2 linked regions of the Drosophila melanogaster genome follow. The protein of the gene in region 1 interacts with the protein of each later gene in a biochemical or structural test. Each region holds a gene or a part of one and is shown in the gene's direction. Other genes may lie near its edges.

Region 1 (4,974 bases):
CCTCCGGAACAATTTTCCCGAACACAAATTGTGCGTGATATGGAGTCGTTGCTGTCGCCGTTATCAGGAACAGCCCCTAAGGGTTTCCTTTCGCGCTGCAGTTGCTCTGCTCAGCCCTAAAAGGGGGCGAATAATAGAAGGCACACTGGGAAAAATTCGATATACCCCAAATCAAACAGTGTAAATTATTTTGAAATCAGCTTAAAATCAAAATAGAGCCCACAATTAAGGAGCCACTACCACTTATGCTTTCAACGTAATTATTTTAATTTGACAAATCATATCTTATTAAGACCGATTCAAAAAGTTAATCTTTCGTCAAAACGATTGACTTTTTTCGGTGCACTAGCTGGTTTAGGAGTTTCCCTAGGTGATTTTGTGTGATTTTATGCACTTAATTTATTAATGAGCTGACCACGGCGAATTCTTCATTCGCAGCGCCTGATTTATGTGGCATCTGCTGTCAGTAGGAATTTTTGAGAGCCGTCAGGGAGGTCGAATGATCGCTGGGTGCGGGTCGCCGTTTGCTGGTTCCTGGTGTCAAAGGGTTCATTAGCACGCCAAAAGGATATTTACACAACAGGGCAGACGGTGGGCATAACAACAAGCAGGGACCGTGTGACTTATGTAACTTAATAGGCTGATGAAAAATGGTAGAGATTTTTATCACTCGGCATCCAGAGACATCCAGAGAAAGGCAAACAACATGTGGCAGAGTCGAAGGCAAAGACGATGGCCCAGCCAAATTGAAGCCACATGTGTGGGTGCACCGAAAGAAAAATCACTGTCATAATTGGACTTATATCTAGTCTTTTATAAGCAATACAATATTTTTATTGTGTGAAAACCTTGGAAGAATAACTATGATTTAATATTTGGTTAAGTACATCATTTCCCTAAACTTTCTTCGACAATTTATACAATAATTGGACATTTTTTACCATGTATGGGACCCCTGCTATCCACAATGAAGATGAAGATCATCAGAGAGCAGCGTCCAAGCACCGCTAAACAAATTGAAAAATTTCAAGTCCTCAGCCTCTTGGCGCTCGCAATTGCTCAATCCGCGTATTTTCGCGTGCTGCACAGGAAAATGAAAATGAAAAGGAAAAGGGGGGAAAACGGGGAGAGCAACCAGCAATGAAAATGAGCAGCCGAACAACAGAGTGTCATCAGCGGTGTATCAGTGATGAGCACAGAGTCTTTCAAATTTGGAAAACGGGTGAATGGTTTTTCAGAGAATCATATAGTATAGAATTAATGATGCCAAAAATTGTGCGTGGTGTTCACTTTACCAGCAATGATTCACTTGTAGTACCAAGAATAAATGACACACAGAACCATATAGAGAGTAAGTTTTAAATTGTGTATAGTCCTGGAAAAAATTATATTGGTTATGAGTAAGTGAGTACCTCTTATATCTTATCTTATTCCAGGGCCAATTGTGTAGTAGTAAAAAGTTTACTATTTTATCATGACGACAATGCAAATTCGTTTTCTGCTGAAGAAATGCAAATAATTGTGAAAGCCATGCTTACTACATACTGAAACTTTAAGTGGTGTCTCTGACTAAAACGTACACTTACAATGGTGTCTTCTCTAAGATAACATCCTTAAATGAGTTTTTTATAAAGTCCTTAATGTTGATGATTCATTCCGATCAGCCAGTTGATTCCCAGACGTATCCCTTTCGCATCCCTTGGCTGCGCGAGCGGGCAGCTCATCACTGCTATCTAGATAGAGATACATATTGGGCCGCGTTCGCGTTTGCGTTCGCGCGTTCGCAGAGCGCACAAAAGTCACTCGCGGGTGCGCCATGGAGTGGTGGCACCAAATCGACATCGGAGGCATCGGCGGCCTTTCAGGGAACGGGAACCATGGGGTCTGGTCCGGGGCTCATTGGGCACTTCGAGCGAGCGCACTACTGCGTGCGGAATTTTCTTTCCTCTCGGCTCAGTCTGTGAGAAATCGTCGGCGTGTTCGGTTCGTTTGCTTATCGGAAAGCGGGAAATTCGGTTGGTTCTTGGCGCGGGTGGCGGCAATCGGAAAACGCCGAAAACTCTGACCGCACGCCCCTTCAGAGTTTTTCCAAACGTGAGTGGGCCAGTGGATATGTGTAAGAAATAGAAACTTAATTTATTTTTAAGTTTCTGGCTTTCCTCCCCATTTTTACGGTCGGCACTGTTCTGTCAAGAATTCCGGCTGAAAACTCATTGTGAATGAAAGCGTTTGTTGTTGTGCGTTTGGTAGATAAATCTTAAAATACGAAAAGATACAGAACTTTGCAAATTGACCGTGAATACCGCCCATTCTGATGATTCTGTGAAAATTGCCAAAGGGCTAAGTCAAACAAAGTCAGTGATCTCAACGGAAGTAAACGAAAACTGTGTGCAGAAGCAGCTAGGCAAAATATAAATCATTTAATTTTAAGGCATACAGAGTGTGAAAAATGAGGTGCTGAAATCGCGGACAGAAAGTCGAGAAAATGAATGAATCAAAATTGGGAAAATAAAAATAATTGCCGAAAACCCAATGTGAAAAACAGAAACTGTGTGCCAACTAAAAAAATATTTGAATTAAATTTAATTCAAATTAATAATCTTGAAAATGACATTCAAGAATCATTCAAGTATCAAAAAAAAGTTGAATAATAACTAAATATACCCAATCCCATAAGAAAAAAGTTTAAAATTATTTAAAATTTTCCTTTTGCTAAAAGATTGCCCAAAATTTAAACTGTACCCATTTGACTCCGCCCGTGGATATATGCACCAATAAAATTCATATTTGTGACATATGGTGCTGAAATCGCACCAGAGCACAACTCCATTCATCAATCGCAGTACTCGGCGATCATAAATCAGAGTGCCCGAAAAGAGTGTGACTAAATCAACGACTGCAACTGAGATGGAGTAGGAAAAGTCCGCACACCTTGGAGGTCTCTTGTTGAGTTAGGAAAGCGTACAAATCGGCGTGGGTAGCGACGCCTACCAATTTTCCAAATGAAAACGCCGTTTTCATGGCTTATCAAATCAATTTTTAGATTCGGTAAGAGCGGTATTTTGTTGGCCTTTTGTTTTCACAAAAGCTTGTGTGCCACCAATTTTTAATTGCCATAAAAAATATAAACTAGTATGAAAGAACTTTCCCAAAGTGCTTGTAGCGGCAGCTGGCAGATTCCGACTATCCGGTAGATACATTTATTAATTTTTATGTTAATGGGGAGAAAAAGTTTGGTCGGAAAGAGGGAACACGCGTCTGTCATAAAATGCACCCTGGCGATTGTCACTTTATTTTTTCGGTTTCGGTGTCGTCTGCAGCGGCAAGGCGTTTCAAATTGTATTTTGACTGCTGCGACGGGCTATAAAAGTATTCGGAACGACAAGAACTTGGGCGGTGCATATAAAAATTAACAAGCTGAATTAGCAGAGCGAACTTAACGAGAATGCAAGACACCACGACTGATATTCCTGGAGGCAGTATCTGTGCAATTGACCTCATGATGTCGAACCTGCCGCAGTTTCGTGCTGCAGTTTGCCTTGGGAAATAAATGCATAAACATAACAGAGTCTGGCGCAGTATTTTTAGATACCCCCGGCGTAAATAATTCATTTTCCAGTCACAGTTGTTGACGTTTCGGCGTCGCCCGAAGTTGACTTTTCCTCTGGGGACGTCTCCCTTCGAAATTACAAGTCCCTCTCGATTTGCATTCTAAACTTGAAAGAGTGCCTATTTTGGGCCTATGAACACTTCTCGGCTACCGTACCGAAACAAGGCCCATGAACTTTGACTGGTGTTGCAAAATTTTGAACTAGAAATTCCACTTCATATAAGACCAAATCCCTCGTATTGCTGGGAAAGAGCTTAAGCTGTCCGGCCACTTAAGGCCACTTTTTATGGGTGATCCCCCCACTCCGTCACCACCGAAAAAATACAATAAATTTTACTCAACTGTGCAGCAATTTCCACTGAAGTGGAGGAGCATAGTCGTGCCTCAGCTTGCTGCGGCAGCAACTCAATTAAGTCTCCATAAAGTATCTGTAGATACGCTAATCAATGGTATACATACGTAGCTTCATAAGTAACCCCAAAGCATCGGGGTCCCGGGTACTTGAATTTATTTGAGATTTGTTTGGCTTAAAATCTATGGCAATTAAAATAGCAAATGAATGACTCAAGTGGAAGCTGTATATAATAACCGAGGAATATAAAATCAAATTGAGCATAAAATCAATGAAAATAAACATGGCCGAGTCAGCGAATGAATTCATTAAATAACTGGATTGAAAAATTATTATAAAGTTTTAATGGAGTAGTGATAATCATTTTCCATTATATTATTAATAAATACCTAATGTTCAAATCTAGTAGATGTCATTTACCCAACTGACCAATTATAAATGCATAAAACGTGCCATATAAATACCAGTGAAAATTTAAATAAAAAGGAAAGCAAATGCGTAATGCCCATAAATCTATTTCCAATTACAGTGAAGTGAAGCAGTTGCCAAGAGAAATAACAAATAAACGACTAGTCGCATCAGTCGTCAGTGTCCAATGTGTTTATGATAAAACTCGAACGAAATTGAAACGTAATCGGGCGAAAGTTGGCTGCAAAGTGTGTGTTCAAAGGGGCGAGGAAGTAAAGAGGAGCAGACGCTTCAAAGGAAGCTAGTGCGACAGTCAGTCAGTCAGTCAGTCAGCCAGTCAGTCGGTGGCAACGTTCGAGGTGATTCCCCTTCCTGCATGACTTCTGTCAACGAAATGATATGCAGCATCTGTCTATGTGGCCAGCGGGCCAGGACGTGATGCTGTGCCGCTGTTAGAGAGGAAACCTCAATGTTCCGATGTCTCGATGCCCCCGATGATGCTATTTTTATGAGGCCCCCAGACTACGAAGACGACGACGGATGCGTGGCCCCATGAAAAATCAATTAACACGCAAAATTATTAAAGACGAAAAACAAAGACGAA
Region 2 (5,581 bases), on another chromosome or scaffold:
TATTATTCCAAATCCGAATCGTTGCCTCAAGTGTTTTGGCGCAGAAAACTGTAATTTTTATTCATTTCCAGGACGCAGTCTGAAGTGCCTGCTAAACGATTATTAGCAATTTGATATAACTGCATGTAAGTACAACACGAGAACAAGTCAACAACGGATTCGCCTGCACACACACACACACACACACACACACAGACACGTGTGGCCACTTACATAAGGACGAGTGGGTGTATGTGTGTGAGTGTGTTTGCCTGTGTGACAGCCAACAGTGGAAAATCACTTCAGTTAACTAAATCCCCGCAACAACCATGCGCCGACTGCGCCGCAGCAGCACGACTTCTGCAGGAGCGGACAGAGAGAGAGAGAGAGAGAAGGAGAGAGAGAAACAGAGAGCGGAACAGCCGAAAAGGACACGGCACAAAGCAGCCATTGCAGGGGCGTGGCCTGCGGCCAGAGAGCCAATCGGAGGGCGAGGTCTTGCGAACAGCGACGTCGGCAGCGGCAGAGGCTGCAAGGGACGAGGAGAGAGCGGGGCGGGGCTGGGGGAAGAGGTGGAAAAGGGGGCGGCAGCGTTAAGCTCATTGCCATATTTTCGCTGTGCTCTCTTTTGAATTTACTTTACTAACAAAACATGACTGTTGGGAGGCAAAAAGGAAATTGTTTTATCAAATGGGTTTCCTTACGCTTTTTTATTATGAAATTAATTTCCAGCATCGTTTCGCAGTCGTTGACGTTCCACTCCCATCGCTCTCACTCCCACTCTCCGTTGGGTTCGCCATTTTCCAGTTTAAACCCCATTTTGCGCCCAGCTCCTTTGAGCATGTGTTTACTCTAGTTTTCCTTTGGAGCTGCCTTAGCCATTCCACTTTCGTTTCATTCCGTTCGGGCAATGTTCGGGAAATGTTTGCATAGTCATATTCTCCCTTCCCTGCCTCCAGTTTCCTTTTTTCATACCGCCTTTCCCCCCGACAAAGGCATTAAAATGCAAATCTTGATTATGAATTTAAGCTCGGCAGACAAATTAAATTTATTTGCCACTCGAAAGATAAAAATCTTGAAAGTTTTATTTGATTACCGCTTGTGTCTGGTTCAGAAGTTCCCCAGCAATCCTTACCAATTCGCATTGAAATTGTTGCCTACTTTTTGGGGCTATATTATTGATACTGAATATATACAGTTCATATTCAATATCATATCATTGTCACCTTACATTTTATATTTATTTACTCTTTATTCTTCGGTATTTTGTGCGCATTTTATTATTGTTTTTTTATTAAGGATATTATATGTTTTAAAAATGTCCCCCACAAATTGTTGTTATTTGCAGTGCCGATATAGAAGCTCTCGCCCAGGTAAAAGTGTGTGAGACATATGTTATTCAGTTGTAAGTGCAATGAAAGAAAAATATAAAATCGATGGGCATTGCTGGTCAACACTTGGTGGGCTTCTCCTGGCGGAGTGTTGAGTTCAGCACGGGCCAAATCGTACCAACAAATTAATAACTTGATAGGGCCAATAAAGGTACATGGGTATCCATTTTCCCCTAGCCTTCACATCCGCGATGGTAACCCATATAATGGCCGTCTTCGGGGAGCTGGGTGTTTTGTGAGTGGTGTCATAACAGACAGTGAAAGTTACTCAATTCATTGGAGGCACCTCCTCCGAATCGATAGCACTGTACTGCAAGGTAATATTTTAATGGGTAATCTCAAGATACGAAACATTTTCATTATTATTAGTAGAATTTTTCTTTTACTCAAGCATTCTTTAGAAGGAAAGTTTGTGAAAGTGTCTTAGCATATATGTATGAACTACATGCATCTGGTACTCTAAGATCAACCCTGCTGACCAGTGTAATCGATACGAAAATCATACTCAAAATAGAATGGCCACTAAGTCAGTTAGCAAGAATGTTCGCCCGCTAATTGTAAAATCAGTTTAGGCGCACTTTTCAATGGACTCAAATCGGGCGCAGCCAACGCGGAATATTCACAAATAATAATTAAGTGAAAACCCATAACAATAAATATTCGATATTACATTTGAGCTTAATTCGGTGCGCTTAATGTCCGGTCAGTGAGTCGCGAGTTTTTGGCTAGGATTACGGAGCAGTCGATCTCAAGCAGCGAGGATGGTTCAGTTCCTGGGCAAACAGGGCACCGCGGGTGGTCAGTGTCCATTGAGTGGTTTCATGACCAACTGCTAATCAAATTTGCAGCTAGTCCCGAAAGAACTTGACCTTCCAAAGGTCACTCAATACTCGTTTTGTGTTTTATGAATCAAATAAAACAAAATTTGAACAAAAGCCAATTCAATTGACTTTATTGATTCTTAAGAATCCTGTGAGAAATATGTTTATGTAATGAACTTAACCTTAACATTTATATAAACGATTATACAATATTGGTGAAAATTATTTTGCGAAAGGATACCAAGTGGGATAAGGACCCCAATAAATATTTATTAGTAATAGCTTCACATTTGTCTTAGTCGTACTTTAACAATACGTTGTAAATAGTTTTTATTTCATTTGGAATGCACAATCCTTTCCCAGAGCTCATTCACATGGTGACCCTGGACAAGACGGGCAAGAAGTCCTTCGGCATCTGCATAGTGCGCGGCGAGGTGAAGGATTCGCCCAACACCAAGACCACCGGCATCTTCATCAAGGGCATTGTGCCCGACAGTCCCGCGCATCTGTGTGGTCGCCTAAAGGTTGGCGATCGGATCCTCTCGCTCAACGGAAAGGATGTGCGCAACTCCACCGAACAGGCGGTCATCGATCTCATCAAGGAGGCGGACTTCAAGATCGAACTGGAGATTCAGACCTTCGACAAGAGCGATGAGCAGCAGGCCAAGTCAGATCCGCGGAGCAATGGCTACATGCAGGCCAAGAACAAGTTCAACCAGGAGCAGACCACCAACAACAATGCGTCCGGAGGTCAGGGAATGGGGCAAGGTCAGGGTCAGGGTCAGGGAATGGCTGGCATGAACCGGCAGCAATCGATGCAGAAGCGGAATACCACATTCACGGCCTCGATGCGTCAGAAGCATAGTAACTACGCCGACGAGGATGACGAGGACACCCGGGACATGACCGGTCGCATTCGCACGGAGGCGGGTTATGAGGTGGGTTAACCCAAGGTCGCCACCCATCGCTCTACTAACTTATAAGTACCTTAGATCGATCGAGCATCCGCCGGTAATTGCAAACTCAACAAGCAGGAAAAGGATCGCGACAAGGAGCAGGAAGATGAATTTGGCTACACGATGGGTAAGACTCAATTGAAGCCATTAAAAAATGTCAGTCACACAGCACGTGAATGCCATTCCCAGCTAAGATCAACAAGCGGTACAACATGATGAAGGATCTGCGCAGGATCGAGGTCCAGAGGGACGCCAGCAAGCCACTGGGACTCGCACTCGCTGGCCACAAGGACCGCCAGAAGATGGCCTGCTTTGTTGCCGGTGTGGATCCCAACGGAGCATTGGGTAGCGTGGACATCAAACCGGGCGACGAGATCGTCGAGGTCAACGGCAATGTGCTGAAGAATCGCTGCCACTTGAACGCTTCCGCCGTGTTCAAGAACGTGGATGGGGATAAGCTCGTGATGATCACCTCGCGACGCAAGCCCAACGATGAGGGCATGTGCGTCAAGCCCATCAAGAAGTTCCCCACCGCGTCTGATGAGGTCCGTACTTTTCACTTCTTTTCGGATGGATCCTGCGATAAAATGTCCTTCCCTTCTATTCCAGACTAAGTTTATCTTCGACCAGTTTCCCAAGGCGCGCACGGTGCAGGTGCGCAAGGAGGGTTTCCTGGGCATCATGGTCATCTATGGCAAGCACGCTGAGGTGGGAAGTGGCATTTTCATCTCGGATCTGAGAGAGGGATCGAATGCCGAGTTGGCGGGCGTGAAAGTGGGCGACATGCTGCTGGCCGTTAATCAGGATGTAACACTGGAATCCAACTACGATGATGTGAGTCGTCAGGAAGCCCTCCAACCACTTAGTTTAAAACCATTTCATATCCACTTCAGGCTACTGGACTGCTTAAACGTGCCGAGGGCGTAGTGACCATGATTCTATTGACTCTCAAGAGCGAGGAGGCGATAAAGGCTGAGAAGGCGGCGGAAGAGAAAAAGAAGGAGGGTAGGTATTGCGTCCAAGCAAGTTCAAAACTGACATCTTCATCCCGATAACTCACAGAGGCCAAGAAAGAGGAGGAAAAGCCACAGGAACCCGCCACAGCCGAGATCAAGCCGAACAAAAAGATACTCATTGAGTTGAAGGTGGAAAAGAAGCCAATGGGCGTCATCGTCTGCGGCGGCAAGAACAACCATGTCACGGTGGGCTATCTGAACTTTCTGTTTCTGCAAGAAGTACCTTAAACAACTTTTCCCTGACAGACTGGCTGTGTAATCACCCACGTTTATCCGGAGGGACAAGTGGCAGCCGACAAGCGCCTCAAGATCTTTGACCACATTTGCGATATAAATGGTACGCCAATCCACGTGGGATCCATGACGACACTGAAGGTCCATCAGTTATTCCACACCACATACGAGAAAGCGGTCACCCTAACGGTCTTCCGCGCTGATCCTCCGGAGCTGGAAAAGTTTAACGTTGACCTTATGAAAAAAGCAGGCAAGGAGCTGGGCCTGTCGCTTTCTCCCAACGAAATTGGATGTACCATCGCGGACTTGGTGAGTGCACATACACCACTGGTATACAGTGGTAGGAAGGCTCAACCCTAAGTAACTACTTTCTCGACAGATTCAAGGACAATACCCGGAGATAGACAGCAAACTGCAGCGCGGCGATATTATCACCAAATTCAATGGCGATGCCTTGGAGGGTCTTCCGTTCCAGGTGTGCTACGCCTTGTTCAAGGGAGCCAACGGCAAGGTATCGATGGAAGTGACACGACCCAAGCCCACTCTACGTACGGAGGCACCCAAGGCCTAGAGACGATCCTCATTCTCCTCCTCCGGTAGCGAAGCAGTGCAGCAATTCAATAAAAGAACCAACAATTCGAATTCAAAACAATCTGTTTTCCGTTGTGGGTTTATTGAAAAGGAAACTCCTTAGGCTATAGAGCTTGCATTGGATGCAATACGGGGCCACAGATCGGCGCATTCCTTGGCCACCGGTCCAGTGATGGCCGAGCCCTTCATTTCGCCCTTGTTGTTTACTATTACCCCGGCATTGTCCTCAAAGTATATAAACACCCCGTCCCTCCTCCTGAACGGTTTGCGCTGCCGAATAACCACGGCAGGCATGACCTGGAAACAAATGAAAATAGTAGTTAGCAAAGTTGCTCGGCAGTGTGCAAACCTCCTGCTGCATCGGTTAGTTATGCAAAAGTGCGTTGTTATAGGTGGGGGAATTATGAGAAGTGCAGTGAAACCGTTTTATAAACCTTCTTCACTACAATTTTAAATTCTTATCAATAAACAAAAATATTAAAAACGTGAGTTTGGTGCGATAAGCTATCTTAGCCGGCACAAAACATGTGGGGAAAATTTATTGGAAGCGTAAGGAGAAACCTTCCACGTCTAATACAAATCTATCTATATTA

What was found. Proteins that work in one complex are often made in the same cells at the same time.
Region 2: the proteins of kon (region 1) and inaD form a complex in vitro, tested with the Drosophila melanogaster proteins (one study listed by BioGRID).

What each region holds. Positions count from the first base shown.
Region 1 is NT_033779.5:18,500,955-18,505,928, reverse strand, and holds the start of kon (kon-tiki), read left to right. Parts: upstream 1-1,950; 5' UTR 1,951-2,116; intron 2,117-4,491; 5' UTR 4,492-4,974.
Region 2 is NT_033778.4:22,855,149-22,860,729, reverse strand, and holds inaD (inactivation no afterpotential D), read left to right. Parts: upstream 1-1,935; 5' UTR 1,936-2,131; coding exon 2,132-2,168; intron 2,169-2,518; coding exon 2,519-3,129; intron 3,130-3,183; coding exon 3,184-3,274; intron 3,275-3,336; coding exon 3,337-3,692; intron 3,693-3,756; coding exon 3,757-3,981; intron 3,982-4,040; coding exon 4,041-4,152; intron 4,153-4,209; coding exon 4,210-4,349; intron 4,350-4,409; coding exon 4,410-4,706; intron 4,707-4,776; coding exon 4,777-4,968; 3' UTR 4,969-5,042; downstream 5,043-5,581. Other genes in the region: RpL23 (ribosomal protein L23), read right to left, coding at 5,088-5,285. UniProt on the Drosophila melanogaster protein: Involved in the negative feedback regulation of the light-activated signaling cascade in photoreceptors through a calcium-mediated process.